Linked DNA regions of Saccharomyces cerevisiae S288C. The gene in region 1 interacts genetically with each later gene. Each region holds a gene or a part of one and is shown in the gene's direction. Other genes may lie near its edges.

Region 1 (4,532 bases):
CCTCTGTTGGATTCATCTGTAGTGATGACAACTTTAGAGTCCCCATCGTTGATACGATCTCTCAAGGAGTTGGAAGAAAACCCGGCAAAGACTACGGAGTGAATGGCACCGATACGGGAAATGGCCAACAAGGTTATGATTGCTTCTGGGACCATAGGCATGTACACGGCAACAGTATCGCCCTTGCGAACGCCCATAGAGTAAGTCAGCACTTGTGCCACTTGACAAACTTCTTCAAGTAGTTCCTTGTAGGTAATGGAATAGCCTTGGCCAGGCTCGTCACCTTCGAAAATAATGGCTTTCTTGTTAGGAGTCTTCAAGGCATGTCTGTCAACACAGTTGTAACAGGCGTTTAATTGGCCGTTGAGGAACCATGCATTGTTCTGGAAGGAGGGCCTGCCCGTTTTAGGGTCTGGGATGAACACCTTATCGAATGGCTTAGACCAGTTTAAAAATTGGGTAGCTTTAGAACCGAAGAACTTAGCAGGGTCTTCAATAGACTCCTTGTGCAAGCGCTGATAGTCCTGCAACCCGTCCAAGTGTGGAGAATAGTGGGTAGCAATTGCGGGCTGCAGTCTATCTGAGATGGGCCGTTGTGGCACGATCTTGACCGAAGTCAAATGTTCATACTCATGTTCCTTCTTCTGCTGCGCAGTGGCGGCAGACTGGGACATTTTTGCTTTCAACTTGTCAATTTCACTTGACTGTTCTTCTAGTTTTGATGATTGTACGGCAGAGGGCGACATAGCACAGTGGGCAATGTCTTTCTAGTAGTTTTGATATGTTTGGTTTTGCTTATAGATAGAAAATATAAGAACAAGATATAACGTACTACCAGATAACCTAAGGGAGAAATATGCTTAGAATAGCCGCCCAGTTTATATACAAAATGAAGGGAGAACTATTTGCCACCGAGGAACTGTACCCCAACTGCAATACCCATTGAATAATGGCATCGGAGGCTCGGCGGCAATTCGTACCCCAACCTTTTTTTTTTACTTTTCTTTGGATCTTAGAGATAACAGAAAAAAAGGATGACCCCAATCATTTGCCACGGCATGTCAACAGGTGAGTGCCTTTTGAGGGGGGGGGGTCATCTCGACATCCGGCGAAATGGAGCAGTCACACGTGAACATTTTTAGGGGATGGAGAGTGCTACGCCGTTCGTCCGAGATGATTATCATATTTACACAGCCGTACATACACGTGCCATTTATCTTGATATCATTCTGGACGTATGTGCACATGTGATTTGCTTTTGTTTTTTTAAGAATGTCGGGTAATAAACAGATTGTTTTTCTGGGAGGATAATCTTTTCTTTTTTCCTGTTGGTATTCTAAAATTAACCTTGCTGTTTCTTTTTTTTTTTTTTTTCGCGCGACTACTCAGCCATCTTGCATTTTTAAAGAAAAAGATAATCATTAATGCCTTCACGGGAATACGTATAGAACATTATTAAAAGTATATGAATGGCATATATATATAGAACACCACCCTTGGAAAACATTTATACCCCTTAAACTAAAACAATTTGCTGCGCTATACCGTGTTTCAGTGTATTATAATACATTCATTTCTGTTTCATTACGATTATATTGACGTGATAAAAAGATTATATAGCCATGATCTTCCTAAACACCTTCGCAAGGTGCCTTTTAACGTGTTTCGTACTGTGCAGCGGTACAGCACGTTCCTCTGACACAAACGACACTACTCCGGCGTCTGCAAAGCATTTGCAGACCACTTCTTTATTGACGTGTATGGACAATTCGCAATTAACGGCATCATTCTTTGATGTGAAATTTTACCCCGATAATAATACTGTTATCTTTGATATTGACGCTACGACGACGCTTAATGGGAACGTCACTGTGAAGGCTGAGCTGCTTACTTACGGACTGAAAGTCCTGGATAAGACTTTTGATTTATGTTCCTTGGGCCAAGTATCGCTTTGCCCCCTAAGTGCTGGGCGTATTGATGTCATGTCCACACAGGTGATCGAATCATCCATTACCAAGCAATTTCCCGGCATTGCTTACACCATTCCAGATTTGGACGCACAAGTACGTGTGGTGGCATACGCTCAGAATGACACGGAATTCGAAACTCCGCTGGCTTGTGTCCAGGCTATCTTGAGTAACGGGAAGACAGTGCAAACAAAGTATGCGGCCTGGCCCATTGCCGCTATCTCAGGTGTCGGTGTACTTACCTCAGGGTTTGTGTCTGTGATCGGTTACTCAGCCACTGCTGCTCACATTGCGTCCAACTCCATCTCATTGTTCATATACTTCCAAAATCTAGCTATCACTGCAATGATGGGTGTCTCAAGGGTTCCACCCATTGCTGCCGCGTGGACGCAGAATTTCCAATGGTCCATGGGTATCATCAATACAAACTTCATGCAAAAGATTTTTGATTGGTACGTACAGGCCACTAATGGTGTCTCAAATGTTGTGGTAGCTAACAAGGACGTCTTGTCCATTAGTGTGCAAAAACGTGCTATCTCTATGGCATCGTCTAGTGATTACAATTTTGACACCATTTTAGACGATTCGAATCTGTACACCACTTCTGAGAAGGATCCAAGCAATTACTCAGCCAAGATTCTCGTGTTAAGAGGTATAGAAAGAGTTGCTTATTTGGCTAATATTGAGCTATCTAATTTCTTTTTGACCGGTATTGTGTTTTTTCTATTCTTCCTATTTGTAGTTGTCGTCTCTTTGATTTTCTTTAAGGCGCTATTGGAAGTTCTTACAAGAGCAAGAATATTGAAAGAGACTTCCAATTTCTTCCAATATAGGAAGAACTGGGGGAGTATTATCAAAGGCACCCTTTTCAGATTATCTATCATCGCCTTCCCTCAAGTTTCTCTTCTGGCGATTTGGGAATTTACTCAGGTCAACTCTCCAGCGATTGTTGTTGATGCGGTAGTAATATTACTGATCATCACGGGACTTCTGGTTTATGGAACTATAAGGGTTTTCATCAAGGGAAGAGAGTCTCTCAGATTATACAAGAATCCTGCGTACCTACTTTACAGTGATACCTACTTCTTGAACAAGTTTGGGTTCTTATACGTTCAATTCAAAGCAGATAAGTTTTGGTGGCTTTTACCCTTATTAAGTTATGCGTTCTTAAGATCCCTGTTTGTTGCCGTTTTACAAAACCAAGGTAAGGCTCAAGCAATGATCATCTTTGTCATTGAACTAGCTTACTTCGTTTGTCTCTGTTGGATAAGACCATATTTGGACAAGAGAACTAATGTTTTCAATATTGCTATTCATTTGGTGAATTTGATCAATGCATTTTTCTTTTTGTTTTTCAGTAATTTGTTCAAGCAACCAGCAGTGGTTTCGTCAGTGATGGCGGTTATTCTGTTCGTTTTGAACGCGGTGTTTGCTCTATTCCTATTATTGTTCACTATTGTCACCTGTACACTGGCATTACTACACAGAAACCCAGATGTCCGTTACCAACCAATGAAAGATGACCGTGTGTCATTCATTCCTAAGATTCAAAATGATTTCGATGGCAAAAACAAAAATGATTCTGAACTGTTTGAATTGAGAAAAGCTGTTATGGACACCAATGAAAATGAGGAAGAAAAAATGTTCCGTGACGACACTTTCGGCAAGAACCTGAATGCAAACACAAATACAGCAAGACTCTTTGATGATGAGACTAGTTCATCCTCTTTTAAGCAAAATTCCTCTCCCTTCGATGCCTCGGAAGTAACGGAGCAACCTGTGCAACCAACCTCCGCTGTCATGGGTACGGGTGGCAGCTTCTTGTCTCCACAGTACCAACGTGCGTCATCTGCTTCTCGTACTAATCTAGCGCCGAATAATACAAGCACCTCCAGTTTAATGAAGCCTGAATCAAGTCTCTACCTGGGGAATTCCAATAAATCATATTCGCATTTTAACAACAACGGCAGCAACGAAAACGCCCGCAACAACAACCCATATTTGTAATCCAATATATACTCACATGTAACAACTTATTATATAAATATTTAAGGGCAAGGATATCCTACATTATATTTCATAGAAAACCGCTCAAAAAGGTGTATTATCTCCATTACATCCCAACACCACACATATTTCAGCGATAAAAACCTTAAATGTGAAATTCGCTTTGGCTCTGCTTCCTTAAATGTACGCAATTGCCGCTTTTTTCTGACATCTTTTTTGACGTGTAGAGAAGGAAACAGATCCTCCAGAAGGGATTTACTGTTGGCTATTTTGTGTTAGAAGCAGGTTAATAATAGATTAGGTTGCGTAAGTCATGGTCGAAAATAGTACGCAGAAGGCCCCACATGCCGGAAATGATGATAATAGCTCTACCAAGCCATATTCGGAGGCGTTTTTCTTAGGGTTCAATAACCCAACGCCTGGATTAGAAGCTGAGCACTCAAGCACATCGCCTGCCCCCGAGAACTCCGAAACACATAATAGGAAAAGAAATAGAATATTGTTTGTCTGCCAGGCTTGTAGGAAGTCAAAAACAAAGTGTGATAGAGAAAAACCTGA
Region 2 (3,224 bases), on another chromosome or scaffold:
GGTTTTGATGGCTCATTTTCCGGTATACTGCCCTCTATTTTATATTTGTTTTTATTCTTGTCCCTAAATAGTAGATATCGTGATATTAGTTCTTTCAAAATGGACGTTGGCGTCGCCTTGTGGGCCCTGATAAATTTTGATTTTAAAAGATCGTCTGCTGACAATCTCTCCTTTGGATCCTCATCAAGACAAAGCGCAATAAATTCTTTCAAAGATGTACTGTATGATCTGTCCTCAAGCCTCGGTGGTTTCGATTTGATGATTAGTTGCATTGCCCTTAGGGCCTCCACATCGCAGTATGGCGGATTTCCGGTGGCAATCTCGTACGTTGTAATACCTAAAGACCATATATCTACTTTAGTGTCGTAATAAACGCCTTCCATGATCACTTCTGGAGCCATCCAGTAGGGGGTCCCAGCCATAGTTTGACGTCGTAAAGAAGTTTGGTTTACTTGTGCAGCGACACCAAAATCGCATAGTTTAACATTACCTTCGTTAGTGATCAGAACGTTTGCTGCTTTGATATCTCGATGAATGACGTTATCTTTATGAATGCATTTTAATGCTACAAGCAGTTCTCTCATAATAACCCCAATGTACTTTTCATCGATTTTGCCTGGCCTTAACAACGAACGCAGTGAACCACCAGCGCAGTGTTCCATTATGATCCAAAGGCTTGTGTCTTTCAAATACGACCCATAATACCGCGTGATATTGGAAATCTGTTTCAAGGAGGCCAAAAACTGAATTTCTCGCTGCACATCCTCCACCTCGTCAGAATCAGAATCTAAATTTAAGACTTTGATAGCATACACTCGTCCAGTCTTCACGTTATAGCCCTTATAAACCACACCAAATTTCCCTCGCCCAATAACTTCCGTTCTCTTGAAAAGTGAACTCACATCCATCTCTCCTTCGGCTAAACCCTGCTTACTATTTTGTGGCTTCGTCGTCATTACTGCCTGTTCTCTATACGTGTTTTGCTTGCCAGTCGATGGCGCCCAAATTTATACTTTTTGTTTCTTTATCTGTGTACTGTTAAAAGTAGTACTGTTAAAAGTAGTAAGCTCCTTAGAAAGCGGTTCCGCCTAATAGTTCCTAACTTGTTGTATGTGGCTTCACGTAGGACGAGTTGCCTCTGTTCTTCTTTGACTTTTGCCACGTCGGCAAGCTGCTGCTCTTGTTGATGCCTTTAAAGATTGTCAGATCGGCCTGAGATCGACGTGTGGCATGATAATGTTGCTCGATGGGCTGTAAATAGATAAGAAAGAGTGAAACGAATAGAGTAACGAGGCCACAGATGTGGCGAAACCTGGGAGGATATGTTCTAACGTTATCTAGAGTTCTGATAGAGCATTGTATGCGATAGTACCGCTGACATATGTGCATTCTTTAATTATATCGATGATATCATGCAACACGGGTTAGCTCTGTAGTAATGTAAACCTCTCTTAACTACGGCCAAGAATATCAGCAGCGGAGGTTAAGTTGCAGGTTATACCTATCTGTTTTGTAGTTAGGAAACGTAGGCGCATACTAATTAGGAGTAGCAAGGCAAGATGCAAACTGTGTTGAAATATTTGTTGCTTATTATGTGTGGAAGCTTTTGTGCTTCGGAGGAATTGCAAAACCAGACCAATGTTCCTGCAATATTCTTCTCTTACAAACTGTATGTAGAACAAGAAACATTAATCTTTAGTAACTTTCATTTTTCTTACTAACTAGATGTTATACACATATTTGTACTTTTGGATAGAACTCCCGGTATTTTAAAGTATCAAGAGGATTATGATAGGGCTGTGACTTTACCAAGAGACACCTTTATTGAAGCGGCTGAGAAATTCTTAGGTGTATGTAATGCTGACACTTATGTGTTTATTAATCAACCAGGCCTGAGGAAATTGGACTTCTTGGAATTTGAAACAGAGTTTGTTTCGTTACAGAGATATATAAGACGGAGTTCAACCGCGATTAAGTTCGAAAAGGTAGACCTATTGCCTCAAGATTTATACTATGATCTTGCAGAGTTTGTAAAGGAGTATTGTAACGTAGACCAGGTGTTGAACTTACGAGGTAATAATACAGAAGATTTCCAGCCCTTTATTGATAGCGAAAAAAGAGTGATTATAATAGAGTACCCTAAGTTACCAGAGGACACTAATGAACGTAAAGAAGCATTCCGCCATTATGACAAGTATTTGAGGACTATACTGGCGCAGATTCCGTCGCCAGAACAAAATGTCATTTACACCTCGTTAAACCCAGGAACTACGCTGGCTCACGAGTCGATCATCCCTATCCAAATATTTCCAGATATCTTTGACATAAAATCCAGAGTGGGTGAAGTGGAACAAAATAATAGAGTTTTGGATGTGCCTCGTCTGTCGTTTAATGACTATACTCCACGATTTTCAGAGCCACCTTCGGAGTATGTCTCAATATTTGATTCACAATTAATTGAGAATAACAGAGGTTTATTACAGCTGATTTTCACAATTTTGGTTGGGTATATTCTTATTCAGTTTTTTTTCACAAAAAAAACTATTGTAGATGAGAAGATTACTAATAAAAAGGACAACGTGAAACAGACGTCACCACAACTGCTCAAAAAAGTGCAAGAGATCCAGAAAAAGCCATCCCAGCAAGTATCTTGATTATGGTTCGTTATATACATCGATTCTTTGCAAAATTATCCATGAGAGACTTCGCGCCATGCTACAATTTACCAATGCGCATCGAGAAATTTATGCTATCGCATTTAATATGATATAATTATCCGTCTGTTTATATATATATATATATGGGGCCAAACTGAAAGGCGGCAGTTACATTACATCGTCTCCTCTACCTAGTCATGAACATCAGTGGCACCTTAAATACGCTCCGGTTGCTTTATAACCCATCACTGTGTAAGCCTAGTCTAGTTGTCCCCACTTTTAACGATCTTCCTATACCAATCCACGATTCTATAAAGGCCGTGGTCTTGGATAAGGACAACTGCATCGCCTTCCCTCATGATGACAAAATATGGCCAGATTACTTGCAACACTGGGAAACCTTAAGGTCGAAATACTCTAACAAAGCACTCTTGATTGTTAGCAATACCGCCGGTTCCAATTCTGATAAGGACTATTCGCAAGCAAAACTTTTGGAAGATAAGACAGGTATACCTGTTTTGCGGCACTCTACAAAGAAACCAGGTTGTCACAACGAAATATTAGATT
Region 3 (3,763 bases), on another chromosome or scaffold:
AGCTTTCTTTTGGTGTGTTTAATATGCCCTGTTCACTTCTTTTTTTCAATTTCCCGATGCCAGTATTTGGTAAAGTTGATGAAATGACTTCAACTTTGCCTCCAGTGCTTTTTATCAAATTTGACGCAGCTTTTAGGGCAGGTCCAAGTGCAAACTTGCTACTGTGTGTGTCTTGAAAAATTTCAGGTATCTTTTTCAACAATGTTTCCAGATTATTTTTACAATATTTTAGTGGAACTACTAATTCATCACTCGGCATTGGTAAAAATGGTTCATCCAAATCGCCAATATCAAACATTTGAATTGTTTCTGAATTATCAACGTCTTCCTCTTCCTCGTCTTCATCTTCTTCTTCACCATCTGATTCTTCATCATCCTCATCCGATACTTCATAATCATCATCCAAAGGAACGTAAAAATAATGAAGGCTATGATCAACACATATAATAGCAATTCTGGTCCTTCCATCATGATTTGGTAGAAATTCTATGTTTTCTAAAATGGTTCTGGCAGAAGTAGCCAATAAACCATTTTTGACAGCGTTTTGAGAAACATCTAAAAGAAATACATAAACAGATGGTGGGGGTTCCCTAACAGAATATTCTACGGGAGCCAAGTAATCCACGACAGAGTTTTTAATTTCGTTTCTTTCATATCTGTTGATTGGAGCGCCTTGTAAGTTCTGATCAAACCCAAATGGGACATCATTTTTGAAACGGCATATATTACATTGCCATTTTCTCCCTTGGTTAATGAAAACGACAAAAGGGTTCATATATGAACGACAACGGCGACAGCGGACAATGACTCCGTCAGTATTTAGCGGTACTTGGTTGTCTGAATCTTGCAAATGCAAATATGGTCTAATAACAATGGCAAATGGTAACTTCGTTTTCTTCAGCAGAGAGTTTGTTTTTGGCACCGCTTTCAAAGTAGATCTGACGTACTGGTATGGAACATTTGAATATTCGGATGGAGTCACAATGTTATCCTGAGAAATGGTGATTGGAAGAGGTGGTAAAGACAGGTCACGGATTGGCGGAGGTAATTCTGTAAACAAATCCACAGGGTATAGTTGATTGACCACTTTCCCAGAACCAGGAAACTGTTGATTTTGAGCTAGCTGTGTAAATGAGTTAGCCCTATTGTTCAATTGTAGGTTGCCCATTGCATAAGCTGTTTGGTCGATTTGTTGTTGAGACTGCTGTTGCTCTGCAACTATTGGCATACTTGCAATGTATGGCACCTGAGCTTGAGGGTACACCCTCTTCTTATGATGAGACATTATTCACTGCAGCTGTCGATCATTAATGGAAGAAGGTTCATCAACCAAGCACACTGCAAATGAAGGGTTAGATGAAGAGTTCGACGAAGACCCTTTTAACTGACGTATCATTCATCGTTGTCATCGCTACATCTATGTCCTTCGGGTAAGCTAAACAAAAAGTGAAAAGTTCAATAAATAATAAGATTGAGAGGTAAGTGAAGTGAAGATAGATGTTAGTATCCAAGTGTGACCAACATGTTCAGGTGATTGCAGGCGAAAATGGGCAGTGCTTGGACAAACTACAATTTTGAAGAGGTTAAGTCTCATTTTGGGTTCAAAAAATATGTTGTATCATCTTTAGTACTAGTGTATGGACTAATTAAGGTTCTCACGTGGATCTTCCGTCAATGGGTGTATTCCAGCTTGAATCCGTTCTCCAAAAAATCTTCATTACTGAACAGAGCAGTTGCCTCCTGTGGTGAGAAGAATGTGAAAGTTTTTGGTTTTTTTCATCCGTATTGTAATGCTGGTGGTGGTGGGGAAAAAGTGCTCTGGAAAGCTGTAGATATCACTTTGAGAAAAGATGCTAAGAACGTTATTGTCATTTATTCAGGGGATTTTGTGAATGGAGAGAATGTTACTCCGGAGAATATTCTAAATAATGTGAAAGCGAAGTTCGATTACGACTTGGATTCGGATAGAATATTTTTCATTTCATTGAAGCTAAGATACTTGGTGGATTCTTCAACATGGAAGCATTTCACGTTGATTGGACAAGCAATTGGATCAATGATTCTCGCATTTGAATCCATTATTCAGTGTCCACCTGATATATGGATTGATACAATGGGGTACCCTTTCAGCTATCCTATTATTGCTAGGTTTTTGAGGAGAATTCCTATCGTCACATATACGCATTATCCGATAATGTCAAAAGACATGTTAAATAAGCTGTTCAAAATGCCCAAGAAGGGTATCAAAGTTTACGGTAAAATATTATACTGGAAAGTTTTTATGTTAATTTATCAATCCATTGGTTCTAAAATTGATATTGTAATCACAAACTCAACATGGACAAATAACCACATAAAGCAAATTTGGCAATCCAATACGTGTAAAATTATATATCCTCCATGCTCTACTGAGAAATTAGTAGATTGGAAGCAAAAGTTTGGTACTGCAAAGGGTGAGAGATTAAATCAAGCAATTGTGTTGGCACAATTTCGTCCTGAGAAACGTCATAAGTTAATCATTGAGTCCTTTGCAACTTTCTTGAAAAATTTACCGGATTCTGTATCGCCAATTAAATTGATAATGGCGGGGTCCACTAGATCCAAGCAAGATGAAAATTATGTTAAAAGTTTACAAGACTGGTCAGAAAATGTATTAAAAATTCCTAAACATTTGATATCATTCGAAAAAAATCTGCCCTTCGATAAGATTGAAATATTACTAAACAAATCTACTTTCGGTGTTAATGCCATGTGGAATGAGCACTTTGGAATTGCAGTTGTAGAGTATATGGCTTCCGGTTTGATCCCCATAGTTCATGCCTCGGCGGGCCCATTGTTAGATATAGTTACTCCATGGGATGCCAACGGGAATATCGGAAAAGCTCCACCACAATGGGAGTTACAAAAGAAATATTTTGCAAAACTCGAAGATGATGGTGAAACTACTGGATTTTTCTTTAAAGAGCCGAGTGATCCTGATTATAACACAACCAAAGATCCTCTGAGATACCCTAATTTGTCCGACCTTTTCTTACAAATTACGAAACTGGACTATGACTGCCTAAGGGTGATGGGCGCAAGAAACCAGCAGTATTCATTGTATAAATTCTCTGATTTGAAGTTTGATAAAGATTGGGAAAACTTTGTACTGAATCCTATTTGTAAATTATTAGAAGAGGAGGAAAGGGGCTGATGTTTTTTGAAAATAGAAGCCTTGTTTATGAGAAAACTTATACATAATATTACATACAAACTAGAGCATTACTATATAATTAACTTACTTGTCACAGCTGATTGCTTTTTCTAGGGGAATCTACATTTTCAATGTAAAATTCAGGAACCCTATTCTGAATTTGTGAATCATTCGTTTCCGGTATCGATGACGTGGTGTTAGTGATTGTCAAATTGTCTAATTTTGGAATGGAATTCAAGGGAAAATTGCTACTACTCACATCATCGTATCTCGTATGTTGCTCATTAGTTACCTGGGGGGTCACGCTCTCCGTGGTGTTTTCATTACTCTTGGCTTTTTCTTTAGACAGTTTGGCAACTTTACTCACATATTTGCATTTGTCGTCATAGTTGGGCAAACTTGATAAGGCTTTGATATTTCCAAACCATTCTATCATATCGTCATAAGAGTCTACTTTGAATACCCAGTTGTGACCCCTATGTATTAGTCCGTTAGAATTCGTACGCAATATAAACTTGTTCTTGCCCTGCTCTGAGTTGGATTTCGTCTTTTTGGAATGCTCAGTGACAG

Evidence for each region. A genetic interaction does not mean that the proteins touch.
Region 2: mutations in FLC2 (region 1) and BIG1 together harm fitness more than expected from each alone (negative genetic interaction), as found in Saccharomyces cerevisiae (2 studies listed by BioGRID).
Region 3: of FLC2 (region 1) and ALG11, changing one suppresses a phenotype caused by changing the other (phenotypic suppression), as found in Saccharomyces cerevisiae (one study listed by BioGRID).

The regions. Positions count from the first base shown.
Region 1 is NC_001133.9:44,277-48,808, forward strand, and holds FLC2 (flavin adenine dinucleotide transporter FLC2), read left to right. Parts: upstream 1-1,622; coding exon 1,623-3,974; downstream 3,975-4,532. Other genes in the region: ACS1 (acetate--CoA ligase 1), read right to left, coding at 1-746; oleate-activated transcription factor OAF1, read left to right, coding at 4,288-4,532. UniProt on the Saccharomyces cerevisiae protein: May be responsible for the transport of FAD into the endoplasmic reticulum lumen, where it is required for oxidative protein folding.
Region 2 is NC_001140.6:314,304-317,527, reverse strand, and holds BIG1 (Big1p), read left to right. Parts: upstream 1-1,559; coding exon 1,560-1,669; intron 1,670-1,756; coding exon 1,757-2,654; downstream 2,655-3,224. Other genes in the region: putative serine/threonine protein kinase KIC1, read right to left, coding at 1-956; GEP4 (phosphatidylglycerophosphatase), read left to right, coding at 2,855-3,224. UniProt on the Saccharomyces cerevisiae protein: Required for normal beta-1,6-glucan synthesis.
Region 3 is NC_001146.8:536,627-540,389, forward strand, and holds ALG11 (alpha-1,2-mannosyltransferase ALG11), read left to right. Parts: upstream 1-1,546; coding exon 1,547-3,193; downstream 3,194-3,763. Other genes in the region: COPII subunit SFB2, read right to left, coding at 1-1,285; SLM2 (phosphatidylinositol 4,5-bisphosphate-binding protein), read right to left, coding at 3,285-3,763.